4 linked regions of the Macaca fascicularis genome follow. The protein of the gene in region 4 interacts with the protein of the main gene of each other region in a pairwise test. Links are inferred from orthologs where the notes say so. Each region holds a gene or a part of one and is shown on either strand. Other genes may lie near its edges.

Region 1 (4,296 bases), on a different chromosome or scaffold from region 4:
CCACCCTCCACCTTCCCCCTCCACACGCTGGGCACGCCGCCCTGGCAGGCCCCTGCACCCTGGGTGGGCAGGTGTGTGGGCTGGGCCTGCTGGGGGAGGCTGGAACTGACGGATTCTGAGATGCACTCCCATCCTGGGGGCTGGGCCTGGGGTCCCACGGGGTCCCATCTCCGGCGAGCTCAGCCCATCTGCCACTCCGAGGCCCAGGTGAGCTGCTCACCCCACCCTGGGGGCTCCGCCCAGGCTGTGAAATGGACAGAGCCTGAGTGGCAGAGACACAGGAAGTGCAGCCAGGACTGCAGAAGAGGGAAGAAGCCTTCCTGAGGACTTCCTGGAAGAGGTGACGGAAGTGAGGGAAGGGATTCTGGGCAGGCAGAGGCACAGAGGCCCTCAGCTTGGCTGGCAGGCAAAGGCGTCCTGGGAGGAGAGTGCCCATTTCCAAGGGAAGGGAGGGCCAGTGTCCCGCGCAGGTCAGGATGCCCAAGAGGCCGTGGGGTACCACTCCCGGGAGGCGAGCCCAGGCCTGCCTGACATCCAGCCACCCCAGAGCCAGCCACCCAGCCAGGGCAGGCTTCAGGGAAGCCCCCCGCCCACAGCCTGCCATGTGCCTGCTATGCCCATGCCCCCTCCCCACCACTGCTTCCCCCTGAGTAACATCACCCCATGCAGGTCTCAAGGACCCTCTCAGCTCAAGGTCAAAAGTGTGTCAGACCCTTAGGTCCAGCCAGGTCAAGGTGCAGGAAGGTTCAGGGAGGCCACTGAGGCCTGGGAAAGAGGGGCAGGTCTGGGTGCAAACAAAGCCCCATCACCTCAGAGCCATGGGGGTCCCCCGCCTTTGGTCTGCCTGACATCACAGGCCTCCCCTGGCTGGATGCAGCAAAACGCTGAGGGCTGCAGCTGTCCCTGGGTGGCGGCCAAGGTCCAACCCAATGTCCCTTGGCCCTGAGAAGACGCCGCCCGGCCTGAGCCTGCATCCGTGTCCACCACAGCCACGGCCCACACCAGCTCAGCTCTGGTTACCAGAGCCCCTCAGCAGAGCTGTGCCAGTGGGCTGCACGCTGAGGCTGCGAGGGCTGCCCTGAGCGCTTCACTGGAAGTGAGGGAGAGAGTGCTGCCACCAGGGCCACAGAGGGCACCTGCCTGGGCTGCCCTGTACCTGCTGCCTGAGGCCCAGCCCTGTGGGGACTGTGCAGCCACAAGCAGGCATCCCATGTGGCCATCAGGGAAAAGGGCAGTGACCCCATGCCCCCACCTGCTGTACCTCGACTGATCCCAGCTGCCCCCCGCCAGCACCACCAGCTTAGCTTTGCCTTGGGGAGAGCCAACAGGACTCCCGCCACAGGGAAAGTGAGGGGCACAGGGCCTCTCTCAGGCTGGGGGCTAAGAGGGCTTCACAAGGATGGTGAGGGGCAGCATCCTGGATGTGATGGGGGGGACAGGATGCCCCCTGAGGGAGGCACGCAAGCAGAGGGGCACGGCGACCTGGACCACCTGACCTGATGAGAGAGGCTGGGGGCGCTGGACTGACTGTGGCCAGGAAGGTAGTCTTTGCCTAAATGGCATGCAGGAGCTCTGGCAGAGGGGAGATCTGCTGGGGGCAGGCAGGCATGCAAGCAAAAGGTGGGGCCCAAACCGGACAGGGCTGGGCTTAGAGGAAGACAGGCTGGGACTCAGTGATCCACTGGATGTGGGAAGAGGATGGCAGTAGCTCCTTCACCCAACACATATGCCTCATGCCTGTAATCCCCATGCTTTCAGAGGCCAAGAGTTCGAGGCCAGGAGTTCAAGACCAGCTTGGGCAGCAGTGAGACCTCGTCTCTACAAAAAAATTTAAAAATCAGCCGGGTGTGGTGGTGTGCACCTGTGGTCCCAGCTACCGGGGCAGGGGCTGAGGCAGGAGGATCGCTTGAGCCCAGGAGGTTGAGGCTACAGTGAGCTGTGATCATGCCACTGCACTCCAGCCTGGGAAACAGAGCAAGACCCTGTCTCAAAAACAAAACAAAACAAAATATTCCTTGTGAACCTACCATGTGCCTGGTGCCAAGTGAGGCAACACAGCCCCTCGTGTCGGGGCCTGGCATGGGAGAATGTGACACCCTAGGAGGTGGGGAAGGCTGAGCTTAGGCAGATGGAGACTCCAAGGAGGTGCCCTCCCTGGAAAAAACCCCAAGGAGGAAGCCCACTTTGAGACTCGCTCAAATTCTCACTCAGCTCCTTCTCCTACCTCCCTGCTTCCACCCTCTGCACTCCTTGCTCCTTCCTCCTCGGCCCAGCTATCTCCTCCTTCAAGTTGCAGCATGAAAGCCACCATTTCCAGGAAGCCTTCCCTGATCCCCAGGGCAACCAAGGAGTCCCACTGTCAAAAGGGTCGGATTCCGGGGACGGGAAGGATAGGGCCCAGCAATGCTTCCTTGAAAGGATGAGTGGTGTCCCCTCAGATGTCCCTCCTGCGGCCCCTCCCCGGCCTGGGGGCTCACTGGGTCGGGGAACCCGCGATCCGGCGGGCGGAGAAGGGGCCGACCCGGAGCTCGGCGGGAGTCGGGGGCGGGGCTCCGGGGCGGGGCCCGCAGCGCAGAAGGCGGTGGGCGGGACGCGGGTCGTGGGCTGGGCCGCCGGCGGGGACGCGGGGGACGCGGAGGGCGCGGGGACGCGGGCTCACCTGGCGGTAATGCAGCGTGAGCGGCCGCAGGTAGGGTGAGGCGGCGCAGCGGCCCACGGACGCTCCCTCGATGCGGTCCATGGCGGCGCCAGGACAGGCGGGGGTCCCGACCGCAGTGGGGACCAACCCGGGGCAGCGCCCTGGCAGGACGGGAGCTTTCGGGCGGGCGCGTGACGGCGGCTCTGAGCATGCTCCGTGGGTGCGCGGGGCGGGGCGGGGCGGGGCGGGGCGGCCGAGGTGGGCGGGGCTCGCAGGTGCCACCTGTCGGGTGCTGCGCGCCTGGGGGCGCCGGTCTCCGCGGTGCCAGGGGAGCCGCGCAGGCACGTGGGCGTCGCGCAGAGGAAGGACTGGCTGGGTCGACCCCGGCCGCCGGGCGGGGCCAGCCGGACCGGGGTACAGTGCTTGGGTGGGACTCAGGACCTCTTGGCTGGGGGAGGGAGGGCCTGGAGGTGGTTGGAGCCAAGAGCCTGCCCGTTTGGGGTACCTCTGGGGATGAACCACAACCCTGAGATTAAGTTACTCCAGGGGTCCGCGGGCGGGGCCGGGGGCGGAGCAGCGCCCCAGGGAGGGAGGGACTGGGCCCAGGAAGAGAGTCACGGGAGGCCAGAGAGAGGGCCCTGGAAAGAAGCCAGGGGAGAGGAGAGTGGGGCGCGGGAGGGGCCAAAGCTTGGGCCAAGGGGGCTTCCCCTCGAGGTTGCTGGTGTCCAGGGTGGCTGGGAGCTGCCACGCTGTCTCTGCAGCTGTCCCTCCTCCACTCAAAAGCCAGCTGCCCTTCCCTCCTCCTGCAAGTTCTACCTTGATGACGGTCCTTCCTGGGTGTGGAAGGGTCCCAGGCAGCTGCAGTTCTTCCTTGGGCATGGATTCCAAGGACCCCCTCCAAATGCCACCACTGCCTCCACAGGGGCTGGAAACAATATTGAGGCAAGGGAGCTAAGGCCCACACTGGCCCTGAACCCTGACCTGCACCTGCTTTCTGAACTATGGCCCAGGGGAACAGGCTCAGGGTGGACTGGCCATGTGGGCTTGAAATAGACTCCCAGATCCTTGTTCACTATTGCTGTGTAACGAAACACTCCAAAGCTTAATGCCTTAAAGTGCCCCTTTATTGCCTGGCCTATGGATCGCCCAGCTCAGCCAGGCAGCCCTGCCTTGGGGTCTCTCTGCAGTTGTAATCAGGTGGCAGCTGGGGCTGGAGTCGTCCGAAGGCCAAACGGGGTGGACCGTCCAGGATGGCCTCTTCACCCCTGGCCCCCAGTTGGGTGGCTGGAACAGCCAGGGCCAGCTGGCCTCCCTTGTGGCTGGTGTGGGCTTCCCCGAAGCCTGGTGGTCTCAGGGTAGTCGGATTCTCCGGTAGCAGCTGGCTCCTTCCAGAGCACGTTCACTAGGCCAGGCCAAGCTGCCAGGCTTTGTGTGACCTGGCCTCAGATGTCATATGGTGTCATTCCTACTGCATCCTGTGGGTCAGAAAGTCCTGGGCCACCCGCAGATTCCAGGGAAGGGGTATCACCAGGTGGGAACGCTGGGGAACACGGTCATGAAGCCAGCATCCAAGTCCAGCTGTCACCGCCCCAGTAGCTCTACAGGGGCCTGTGTCTCCCCGCTTTAGCCATTCCTCCTGGTGTCCCAGAAGCCAGAGT
Region 2 (4,237 bases), on a different chromosome or scaffold from region 4:
GGGTTCAGATCTCAGTTCTGACACTTAACCTTACTTAGCCAGGAATAAAATGGGAATAATTATTATACCTGCCCCTTAGGTAGGGATATACAAAATGCTTAGCAGAGTGAATAGCCCAGTAAGTTCTCAGTCAGTATTATTAAGAAAACGTACAATAAAGTATGGATTTTCAGACCCCTTGCATTAACACCACAGTGCTCCAGAGATCCTTGATACTCAAGTTGGGAGTCACTGTCCTGGAATACAAATAAAAAACATAGAAGAGCAGTCCATTCCCTCTGCAAGTGTTTATGTGGTAGCTACAGAATTCAGCACTATGCTAGGGGTACATACGCCAGTGCAACACCAAATGAGGTGACAATGCAGAGGGCAAATGCTGTAGGGAAGAAAAAAACACTGGGGCAGAGATTCAAACCAGCCTGAAAGCCACGCAGGTGTTTTAAGTTGGAAATGAAATGAGGAACCAAAAAATTCTGGTCAGGGAGTGGTCTGCTGAGTGTGGTGCTTCAGGTAGACTCACATGACAGGCTGCAGGACAAACTAGAGTGGGGGTCCACCTCCACACCTTCCTGGCCACTCAGTTCCATCCAAATGACTGCTCTTAAAAGTCAAAATCAGGTTCCATTTCTAATCTGCACTGATTCATACTGCTGGTCACGTAAATTGGTATAGGCCACACCAACACAGCACATTAACATCTTAACTAATTTCCTGACAATACTAAAATCAAATCTCTACTTTCCAGAGATTATATAAACTTGGTAAACATTTGAGCTTCAGGTCCAGTCTGACAAAACGGAATAAAAAGGGATTCATCTGCAGAAAGGTCCCAGCATTAGAAAACAAAGAGAAGGGGGAGGACAGTATGTAGGCCCTGACCTTTCTTACTGCCTCAATTCAAGTATTCAATTTCTCAACCTCAGATCCTTGCCCTCTTCCTCAAACTCAGATCCACCTCTTACTAGTTTTCAAACTCTTGTCTATTATGATTACCTTAAGCAAAGCAAGATGCATGAATAACCAGCAGTAAATCAGGTATTCAATAGTTGAAATTGTGTAATATTCTGTGACTGTGCATCTGGCCAATTTCAACTTCTCCTTCTCTCTAATTTTTTGTTTCTTTTTTTGAGGCAGGATCTCACTCTCTTGCCCCAGACTGAAGTACAGTGGTGCCATCACTGCTCACTGCAGCCTCAAACTCCTGGACTCAAGTGATCCTCCTGCTTCGGCCTCCCAGTAGCAAGCACTACAAATGAGCACCAACATGCCTGCCTAATTTTTTTTTTTTTTTTTGTAGCGATAAGGTCTCAATATGTTGCCCAGGCTGGTCTCAAACTCCTGGCCTCACCTCAAGCAATCCTCCCGCCTCTGCCTACCGAAGTGCTGAGATTTCAGTTATGAACCGCTGCCTCCTGCCCACTTAGCCTTTTCTAACACTAGAGAACTTTCAGAGTGGTTTCAATACCAACTGGACACTTCCCAGCGATTTAACCTCAGGCCAATCAAACTCCCATGCCTCCGTTTCCACAGAGAGATAATAAAAGTACCTCCTCAAAGAGTTTGTTATGAGAACTAAATGAGTTAGTATTAGTCAAGCGACTGGAACATAATAGACACAATATGTATCAGCCATTTTCATCTTTATTTGTGTTATATGGCCACCACCCAGAGATACCCAGGAGCACATATATCACATTCTTTCTACAGCAATATGTGGGCATGACTACTTCATGACCACTGAATCTCAAACAGCACAGCTTTTAATAAAGCACAGTGGTCGGATCCTACCTATTGCAACACCTCTGAGACGACTCTCACAAACCAGCCATGCCTAGCCTGAGACATTCCGAAGACCTCCTCCTGATGACCTTACTCGAGGAACTTATTCCTCTGGAAATGGAACCTAGCCTCACTTTTGGACCAGTGTGTCTCAGATACACGTCCAAACGTGTGAACCTGAATCCCAGAAGTTGGTGTGATTTTTAAAAGTTTTTCAAGTTCTTTTTCCTAAACATGTCCTAGTGGGTGACTCCACAGCATCACTTTCTTTCATGTTCTCTTTTCTATCTGGAAAGCCGGTGATAGGCGACGAAACCAGCAAAGCACCCTTTTTCCTGCTTCCCAAACATTAGCAGGTAAGCGCCCCGTGAGCCGAGATACATCAGGAGGACCTCACCCGCAAGTCATTGATCACCAGTTCTTTTCCCCTCCCGGCACCAGCAGCTGCGAAGCACGAAATGGGCTTGGAGGAAGAGACGCTGCGGTCACCTGAGGGGCAGGTGCGAGCGGGCGGTCCTGCCCGGGTGTGAGGGCGACATCCCGCGCGGCACACACGCTCACAGCCCCCAGAGGAAGACCAGAGGCACTCGAAGCATCCAGCACACCCCACACACGACATACTCACGGCACCGCACCTTCCGTCCCACCTCCCGGCAGCAGACCCCTTCCGGGACGCCGAGACGGCTGTTCCTGGAGACGCCGCAGCCCGCGAGGAGCGGCGCGCAGGGAGAGCACGCGTGCCCAGGCGGCCTCGGCCGGCGCGCCCCCGCCCCCACACTCACCTGGCCCGTGATGCCGGTGATGAGCGCCACGTTCCTGGGCTTGCCCATCTCGCCGTCCCCGGAGCCCCGGGCGCTGGAGCAGCGTGCCGGTGCGTGTGCCATGTCCCGCGGCGGGCGTGCGGTCGGCGGCAGGGCGGAGCGCGGCAGAGGGCAGGCGCGGCGCCGGCAGGAACGCGGGTGTGTGCGGCGCGAAGCGCCTCTCTGGCTGCGGGCGGGGAGGGAGAGCGCACCGCGCGACCGGCCGCCACAGTCTGACAGGGGCGCACGGGAGGCCGCGCGGGGAGGGCCGGGGGCGGGCCGAGCCGGCCGAGGCGGGCCAGACGGCCAAGCAGCGGGGCTGCGGCCTGACTGGCGCCGCGTCATTCGCGTCAACCGGCGACGCTGGGGCAGGCCCCGCCCCTCCGCTGACGGCCGCCGCGCGGGGCGGGGCCTGCCGCCGCCGCCGCCTGAGGGAAGAGGAAGAAGGCAGCGGCTTCGCGTCCCGCCTCTCGCCTGGCTGGCCATGGGCGGCCTGGACGCGGTTCCCTTGTCCTCCCCGGCGGCCTCTCGAATCTCCCAGGAATCCTAATGTCACCCGAGGATGCTGGGAGGAACGCTGAGCCGACCTCTCCATTGGGCTAAAGGTCTGAATTTGCAAACCCTGGGGTCCCAGGGCCGGGATCATCGACTTTGATGACTCCTGGAAACCTGTCGCAGCGCCTTTGGGAAGCCTGGTTTATGGTACCTGAAGGGCGCTGGCGTTACAAGGCCCCGAAACGGGGGTTGCAGTTGTGGGGGTGACTAACGAGGCTGGCTCTTGCTCTTCTGGCGTTCCCTGAGGTCGGAACCAGGAACGAGGTTCCAAATAGCTGAATTCAACGTGTTCTGTTCTGGGGACTGGCAGTGCACAAGCAAGTCGCTGGCCCCACCCGTATGCAGCATAAGGAAATGTTGAAAAGACTGCCCGGGTCAATAAACCTGGACGTGGCAAATTTCAAAGAAAGTAATTCAAACACAGGTGGGGTCCTGGCTTATATCTATTGGATTTGGCTGCCATTTGGCAGCTGCTCGTTGGACAGGGAGAGACGAGGAGGTGACTCAGAGCCTGGAGGACAGCAGGTGTGTGTGCCTAAGCAGTTGGCTGCAATCCAGGGCACAGCCGGAAACTTCCCGGTCTCCGTTGCTCTGCTTCTCTGTCCTTACTCCTCCCCCTAATCGATAACCTCAGATCATCGTTTCAAATCAGAGTTACTAGGGCTGTGCCCATTATAACATGCAAGAGTATGTATAGCAGACCTGGAACCCCAAAATCAGAAAAGCTTAGGATTAATTTAAAACCTCCCTCTCCCGCTCCGCGAAGTCCGTTAGGAATATTTCTTAGCTTTGTAGATAGACGGTCTGGTTTCACACCCGGCCTCTCTGCGTTCTATGAGGAGAATGGCTGAACGAACATCTGGTGCGCCAGTAGGATGCTGCCTCGAGTGATGAAGGGACCCTGAAGCTGAGGAAAGGGAACGCTTCCATTGAGAGGAACATGCTATAAGCTAGAAATGTCTGTGAAATATACAGCAATATGCTACAACTATATTCGTTTTCATGTAAATAGGCTTTAAATTAATGCATGAACAAATTATTTAACATTTTCCTGAAAAAATCACTGAGCGGCCGGGCGCGGTGGCTCACACCTGTAATCCCAG
Region 3 (4,269 bases), on a different chromosome or scaffold from region 4:
CCCTGGGCGTTTTCCTGGAGGAACAGAAGGCTAGGCTGATGGTTCCTGCAAGCCCAGACATAAGAGTTCTTCAATGCCGCAATCCCAGGGATCAGGAGGCTGATAGTACTCCCTATTTTACCTGTCACTTCCCACCTTCTTCCATAGCCTCTAATCTTCGATTATTGAGACTGGTCGCATAGGAACAGGCATGACTACAGCCTAGGACATGCCTCCACTCTGCCATACTTGAAATGTGGTCATCTCCTTACAGCCCAGGGAGCAGCTGTTGTGGGTAGAAGACAAGGTGGAGGCCAGGCAGGCACTTCCCTTCCCCAGAGCCACTTATGCTCTCATCTAAGAGCCCTGAAACCAGGTGTGACATCCCAGGGCTTGACAGGCAGTCTGGTTCAGTATCCAGTTCCAGCTTCTGTCTCAGATGCCTAATGTGGCATGGCTGAATGAGTCAACATGTAACCTATACAGTAAGTCCTCACTTAACATCGTTGATAGGTTCTTGTAAACTGTGACTTTAACCAAAACAAGCTTACTAGAACCTATTGATGACACTGGGGATTTACTGTGCTCAGGTGCACTTTTTTTTTTTAAGATGGAGTCTCGTTCTGTCACCCAGGCTGGAGTACAGTGGCGCAATCTGGGTTCACTCCAACCTCTGCCTCCTGGGTTCAAGCGATTCTTCTGTCTCAGCCTCCCAAGTAGCTGGGATTACAGGCACCCACCACCATGCCTGTCTTATTTATGTGTTTTCACTGGTTTCACTATTGTTGGCCAGGCTGATCTCGAACTCCTGACCTCATGTGATCCACCCGCCTCGGCATCCCAAAGTGCTGAGATTACAGATGTGAGCCCCCGCGCCCGGCAGGTACACTTTTTATAGCAGATTCAGTCCCAGTGTTTATTTTGGGGATGGGAAGAGACAAGAGGTGGCAAGGTCAAGTCTGCAGGTACAGGCAGGGATTTTCTCAACCAAGGACTCTGCTGAGTAGCATTTTCCATGCAGACATTTCCAATAAACGCTGACCCAAGAACATTCTAGAAAAGATGCCAAATCTAACATTGAATAATGTTCTGATATCCTAAAATTTTAGGACTAAAAATCATGTTCTCTAAAATTCACAGAATATTTTCCTAGAATTCAGTACCTCTCGTTCACCCTAACTAGCTTTTTTGCAATACTGTTTTCCATTCATTTGTTGGCCAGTAGTTGGGTGGTCTGTATAACTGCCTACTCAATAACATGTCAGCAGTTCTCAGCTTCTTTCCAGTGTTCACCTTACTCAGATACTCCCTTTTCATTTTCTGACAACACCAGCACTTCATGGCAACAGAGATGTCCCTAGCCAGGTTCTCCTCTCTCTTGCTCTCATACTCACAGTGTTTCTTCACATCTATTTTTAGTTTTTCTGGCTCAAGCATCTTCAGGCCACTGAAACACAACCCTCACTCTCTTTCTCTCTCCCTCTGGCATGCATGCTGCTGGTAGGAGACCCCAGGTCAACATTGCTTCAGAAATCCTTTAGCACTCATTTCTCAGGAGAACTTATGGCTTCAGAATCACAGCTCGGTTTTTAAGATGGACATAACCTGTACGACCTTCTGATGGGCTTTCAACTTCGAACTGGATGTGGACACTTTTCTCTCAGATGACAGAATTACTCTAACTTCCCCTTTGCAGTTGCTTCCTTTCCTTGAAGGTAGCTGTATCTTGTTTTCTTTAAAAAGCTTTTTCTTCCAAAGCCACTTGCCATGCCGACCGTCATTAGTGCATCTGTGGCTCCAAGGACAGCGGCTGAGCCAAGGTCCCCAGGGCCAGTTCCTCACCCGGCTCAGAGCAAGGCCACCGAGGCTGGGGGTGGAAACGCAAGTGGCATCTATTCAGCCATCATCAGCCGCAATTTTCCTATTATCGGAGTGAAAGAGAAGACATTCGAGCAGCTTCACAAGAAATGTCTAGAAAAGAAAGTTCTTTATGTGGACCCCGAGTTCCCACCGGATGAGACCTCTCTCTTTTATAGCCAGAAGTTCCCCATCCAGTTCATCTGGAAGAGACCTCCGGTGAGTAACTTCCTGCTTACTTGCTGGGTTTTCCCCCCACGGAGGAGTCCTCCCACTCAGCACCTCCGGCAGCTCAGCTGTGCACATGGGCAATGGGGGAAGGATCCTGGCAGCAATTTTGCTGGGCTCTGTCCTTAAGTGTGAAGCAGGGAGGAGAGGAACAGGTCTCAGATATTTCACCAAATCTCAGCAAAATCCAGAGGGAGAGCGGGGGAGGTGGGGCTGATTCTCATGCTCTGACTCTTTCTCTCTGAAAAAAAAAAAAAAAATCTTGCTTTTTATAAAAGTGGTTGGAACTCAGTTTAATTCATCCTGTAAAAATATTCCTTTCTCAGAACAAATTCCAGAGAGCCCAGATCTACCCTTTCATTTTAAATACCTTTCATCTTTGTAAGATCACTTTAGTTTCTCTGGCTAAAATCATGATGTTATTCTTCTTTAATTTACCAGTGGCCATATCTTTCTGAAACATAGCAACCCTAGAAAGAAGAGAGTCATAAGCACGGAATATTTTTTCATGCATAAAATGTTGGGGTTAGAGAGAGAGACCTAGCAATCGTTTTTGTCCACCTACCTCACCTCATAAGCGAGGAGTCAAGGCACACCAGAGCGAAATATATCCAGTGGGCACATGACAGAGCCTGGATTAAAACTTTCTCTTTTAGGAAACTCTCCCAGCCTCTGGGTTTCATTTATAGTGATCACCAGGAGGGAAATCACATTCCCCTGGCTCGCCTCTCTGATCATCCCTCCAGTGTGACTTTTGTTCTTAATTCAAGAAATATTTATTGAGCATCTACTAGTGCCAGCACTGGACAAGCAACTGGGGGGACAGCAGTGAGTAAGAAAAACCAAAATCCAAGCTGTCTTGGAACCTAGGGTCCTGAAGAGAAGATGGGCGTTGAACAAGAGTGACGTTGTCAGGAGACGATGTTCTGGGTGCCACGGGATCATGTGGCAAGGAGAGCTAACCTGGTCCAGGGAGAGAAACCCTTCCTGAGGAAACGATGGCAACCTGACACCTGATACTATTCATTAGTCATGTTTTTCTTTAACCTAAGATGGGCCAGGCGTGGTGGCTCACGCCTGTAATCCCAGCATTTTGGGAGGCCCAGGCTGGAGGATTGCTTAAGCCCAAGAGTTTGAGACCAGCCTGGGCAACAGGGCAAAAATCTATCTCTTTTGTACTAAAAATTCAAAAAATTATCCAGGCACGGTGGCACATGCCTGTGGTCCTACCTACTTGTAGGCTGAGGTGGGAAGATCACTTGAACTCACAAAGTCCGAGGCAGCAGTGAGCTGAGATCACGCCACTGCACTCCAGGCTGGGTGACAGGACTGAGACCCAGTCTCAAACAACAACAACAACAAACCTGAGGTGGAATACTCCACAACCCCATGTATTCCATAGGTGCTCTTCTTGGTTCTATGGTAAGGCCCATAACTGTCCTGCAGGCCTTCAGTTTAGAAGATAACACTGCTCTGCTATCAGAGTAGTTGGACACGTCATAACCCCCTGCTGAAATATCTTCAGTGACATCCCTCTCTCGGCTGCCTTCAGGACAAATCCCCCACTGCCTTCAGGACAAATCCAAACTCCTTAGCCAAGCCATAGGCCCTTCTCAGCTGGTCCCTGCCTACCTATCCAGGCCCATCTCCATCCTCTTTTCGCAGATCCTGACACACCAGCAGTGCTTGGACATTTAGCTGCTCTGTGGTTCCAAGTCTTCTCACACCGGAGGCCTTTGCTCATGCTGTCTGTCTGCCTGGCATGCCCTTTTTGTTCCTGTCTGAAACTCTGCTCAGGTGTCACTTCCTTCAATCTTTCTCATGACTGTTTTCCTCTCACTGAGAGCAGAGACTCTTCCTGTTCATCTTTGAGGCCCACTCACCAAGTTCAGGCCAGTCCCATAGTGGGTACTCAGCTGATGCTGGTGAATGAAAACCCATGCCCGAGGGCCTTGACCGGTGAGACAGGATAGTCCTGCGTTCCCAGGCAGGGAGTTCTTAAAAACCCTTTCTTGTGCCAGACGTGGTGGCTTATGCCTGTAATCCCAGCACTTTGGGAGGCAGAGGTGGGAGCATCACTTGAGCTCAGGAGTTGGAGACCAGCCTGGGCAACATAGTGAGACCCTATCTCTATAAAAAAAAGAAATAAAAGCCCTTTCTCAGAATGGGTAAAATTAAAACCTACAAATACTATTTTCAGTGAAA
Region 4 (3,451 bases):
TCAGCTCACTGCAACTTCCACCTCCCAGGTTCAAGCAATTCTGCCTCAGTCTCCCAAGTAGCTGGGATTATAGGCGCCCACCACCACACCCAGCTAATTTTTGTATTTTTAGTACAGCCAAGGTTTCACCATGTTGGCCAAGCTGGTCTCAAACTCCTAACCTCATGATCCACCTGCCTCGGTCTCCCAAAGTACTGAGATTACACGCATGAGCCACCATGCCCAGCTGACAGTTTCTTAATAAGTAGAAAGCTCATCTAAGAACAAAAGGTCAGATATCCTTGCTATAAGAAGTTGTTCATTTTTAAAGCAGAATCATGAAAACATGAGAGCTGATACTATATGTCAGTGTAATGCCAAATATCTTTCATTTGGAATGATACGATTAAAGCCACATGATCAAGATGTCTTCCAGAAGGCACATGTAATAAATATATTTTAAAGCCCTGGTTCTCATCTACAATTGAGGCATATTTAGGTATTTCAGATCATCAAGGGTGACACAAAAATCTTCAAAACAAAACAAATGTTAAATCAATTTTATTTAAAGCCATAAATAAATAAACCAAGTAACACTCAAATCTGAGAGGGCTGCAAACTTTTTAACAATACCATAGTCCAAAAAGACTAATACTTATTGCTGATTCAGCTCACAATATTACCCCTTTCCAAACAACAGCACATTGAAATGTTCAAGAAAACATTTTATGGGCACCTTTTATGGGCATTTGAGATTCACAGAGCAATGGGCCATGGCCCTGCCCTCAAGGAGCTTACAGTGTAGCTGGAAAGACACAAAACATCCAGAACAGACATGAGGGGCTGGCTCTACCTCCACACCTCTATCTGAACAAAAACGATTACTGGCTTAAGTCCTCGTGTTTTAACAAATGAGCCACAGGAATATCTTAGCAAGTACACACTATATCAAGTTTCAATTTGACATGTCAAAACAAAAGTTTTTATGTTGTTCATTTATATTTGTATTCACTCAGATTTCCACTCAATCAAATTAAAAGAGAAAGACATAATTCCAAGCCAACTGTACCATAATGTTTGCTGTCCTCGATGAAGGGATAGCTTGTTCATGTCCTAGAATTTCTCCACAGTTCCACATCTTGAGGCCAAGTTTAACCGTTTTTACTGCCAAACCGATGTGTAAATTCGGATAGTGTGTAGACAGCGCCCCATCCTACCTCGGGATCCATACTGATGAAATCGTTCAGGTTCATTTTGGAATCTAAAAAAAAATATGAAAAAAAAATGTCCACTGAAAACACAATTTTGGTTTAACAGCAATAAAACAACGCAGAAGACCAAAAGTAGGTAAAATTAGTCAAATGGATAAGGGCTCAATGTCACCTCTGTGGTTTTCTTGCCTGGAATGTATAACTTCAATCCAATCATGACAAAACAAACACACCCAAACTGAGGGAAACAGAATGTCAGTGAAGAGGGGACGACACAGAGAGTCAGAGCTCCAGAGATCAGCAGAGGGGACCCCCTGGGTCTTTGGCTAAGTACTGATCTTCTCTTTCATGGAACGAAACTGCATGAGGCCAGGGAAAGCAGCACCAGGAAGGAGTGGGTCTAATAATCCCCAGAACTTCCACAGGGCTAGAAATAATTCATGTCACCACCAGCCAGAGTGGAGAGAACTCTTAAGATGCGGCATTCAGTGGCATCCTCAAAAGGGTCATGTCAGAGTAGGGGGGCTAAATTAGCCCTCGATGAAAGGCTGCTCTGAGCCGAGCACGGTGGCTCACACCTGTAATCCCAGCACTTTGGGAGGCCGAGGTGGGCAGATCACTTGAGGTCAGAAGTTAGAGAACAGCCTGGTCAACATGGTGAAACCCCATTCTCTACTAAAAATACAAAAATTAGCGGGGTATGGTGGCACGCCTCTCTAATCCCAGCTACTTGGGAGGCTGAGACAGAATTGCTTGTACCTGGGAGTTGGAGGGTGTAATGAGCCAAGATCATGCCACTTCACTCCAGCCTGGGCAACAAAGCAAGGCTTTGTCTCAAAAAAAAAAAAAAAAAAGAAAGAAAGCCTACTGTGAACCTTTACTCAAAAAGATTAAAAGCAGCCAGGCTTGGTGGCTCACACTTATAATCTCAGCACTATGGGAAGATGAGAAAGGTGGATCACTTGAGGTCACGAGTTCAAGACCAGCCTGGCCAACGTGGTGAAATCCCATCTCTACTAACAGTACAAAATTTAGCCAGGTGTAGTAGTGGGTGCCTATAATCTGAGCTACTTGGGAGGCTGAGGCAGGAGAATTGCTTGAACCCAGGAGGGAGAGGTTGTAGTGAGCCAAGATCGCGCCACTGCACTCCAGCCTGGGCAACAGAGCGAGACTCTGTCTCAAAAAAAAAAAAAGGAGTTAATCCTGGCCAGCATGGTGGCTCATGCCTGTAATCTCAGTATTTTGGGAGGCCAAGCTAGGAGCAATATACTGAGACCCTATCTTGATTTAAAAAAAAAAAAAAAAAAGAGTCAATTCCATAACTAAATCCAACATACCTAATAATGCATGTATCTAAAACATGCATTAATTTAATGTCGGTTTTCTTTTTTTTTTTTGAGACAGAGTCTCCCTCTGTCACCCAGGCTAGAGTGCAGTGGTGCCATCTCGGCTCATTGCAACCTCCACCTCCCAGATTCAAGCGATTATCCTGCCTCAGCCTCCTGCGTAGCTGGAATTACAGGTGTGCACCACCACGCCTGGCTAATTTTTAGTTAGTTAATGTGGGCTGGACACAGTGGCTCACCTCTATAATCCCAGCACTTTGGGAGGCCAAAGCGGAAGGATTACCTGAGGCCAGGAGTTCAAGACCAGCCTGGCTCACATGGCAAAACCTCATGTCTACTAAAAACATAAAAACTAGCCAGATGAGGCTGGGCGGGGTGGCTCATGCCTATAATCCCAACAGTTTGGGAGGCCGAGGCGGGCGGATCACAAGGTCAGGAGATGGAGACCATCCTGGCTAACATGGTGAAACCACGTCTCTACTAAAAATGCAACCAAAAAACAATTAGCTGGGCGTGGTGGCGGGCGCCTATAGTCCCAGCTACTCAGGAGCCTGAGGCAGGAGAATGGCATGAACCCGGGAGGTGGAGCTTGCAGTGAGCAGAGATCACACCACTGCACTCTGTTGCCTGGGCGACAGAGTGAGACTCCGGCTCAAAAAAATAAATAAATAAATAAATAAATAAAACTAGCCAGGTGTGATGCTGCATGCCTGTAATCCCAGCTAATCCGGAGGCTGAGGCATGAAAATTGCTTGAACTCAGGAGGTGGAGGTTGCAGTGAGCTGGGATCATGCCACTGCACTCCAGCCTGGGTGACAGAGTCAAGGGAGGGAGGCAGGGAGGGAGGCAGGGAGGAAGGAAGGAAGAAAATTGGGCTGGCAGTGCTCACCTCAGCAGCCCATATAGTAATTGGGC

The links.
Region 1: the proteins of NTAQ1 (region 4) and NUDT14 interact in binary tests that used the Homo sapiens proteins (3 or more experiments, as listed by UniProt). The two-hybrid records come from large-scale screens. The link is inferred for Macaca fascicularis from reciprocal best matches to the Homo sapiens genes NTAQ1 and NUDT14.
Region 2: the proteins of NTAQ1 (region 4) and GMDS interact in binary tests that used the Homo sapiens proteins (3 or more experiments, as listed by UniProt). The two-hybrid records come from large-scale screens. The link is inferred for Macaca fascicularis from reciprocal best matches to the Homo sapiens genes NTAQ1 and GMDS.
Region 3: the proteins of NTAQ1 (region 4) and CAPN3 interact in binary tests that used the Homo sapiens proteins (3 or more experiments, as listed by UniProt). The two-hybrid records come from large-scale screens. The link is inferred for Macaca fascicularis from reciprocal best matches to the Homo sapiens genes NTAQ1 and CAPN3.

The regions. Positions count from the first base shown.
Region 1 is NC_088381.1:173,357,509-173,361,804, forward strand, and holds the start of NUDT14 (uridine diphosphate glucose pyrophosphatase NUDT14), read right to left. Parts: upstream 2,828-4,296; 5' UTR 2,741-2,827; coding exon 2,660-2,740; intron 1-2,659. UniProt on the Homo sapiens protein: Hydrolyzes UDP-glucose to glucose 1-phosphate and UMP and ADP-ribose to ribose 5-phosphate and AMP. The physiological substrate is probably UDP-glucose. Poor activity on other substrates such as ADP-glucose, CDP-glucose, GDP-glucose and GDP-mannose.
Region 2 is NC_088378.1:170,795,972-170,800,208, reverse strand, and holds the start of GMDS (GDP-mannose 4,6 dehydratase), read right to left. Parts: upstream 2,828-4,237; 5' UTR 2,664-2,827; coding exon 2,562-2,663; intron 1-2,561. UniProt on the Homo sapiens protein: Catalyzes the conversion of GDP-D-mannose to GDP-4-dehydro-6-deoxy-D-mannose.
Region 3 is NC_088381.1:18,956,343-18,960,611, forward strand, and holds the start of CAPN3 (calpain-3), read left to right. Parts: upstream 1-1,442; 5' UTR 1,443-1,746; coding exon 1,747-2,055; intron 2,056-4,269. UniProt on the Homo sapiens protein: Calcium-regulated non-lysosomal thiol-protease. Proteolytically cleaves CTBP1 at 'His-409'. Mediates, with UTP25, the proteasome-independent degradation of p53/TP53.
Region 4 is NC_088382.1:133,082,902-133,086,352, reverse strand, and holds the end of NTAQ1 (protein N-terminal glutamine amidohydrolase), read right to left. Parts: intron 1,241-3,451; coding exon 1,131-1,240; 3' UTR 526-1,130; downstream 1-525. UniProt on the Homo sapiens protein: Mediates the side-chain deamidation of N-terminal glutamine residues to glutamate, an important step in N-end rule pathway of protein degradation.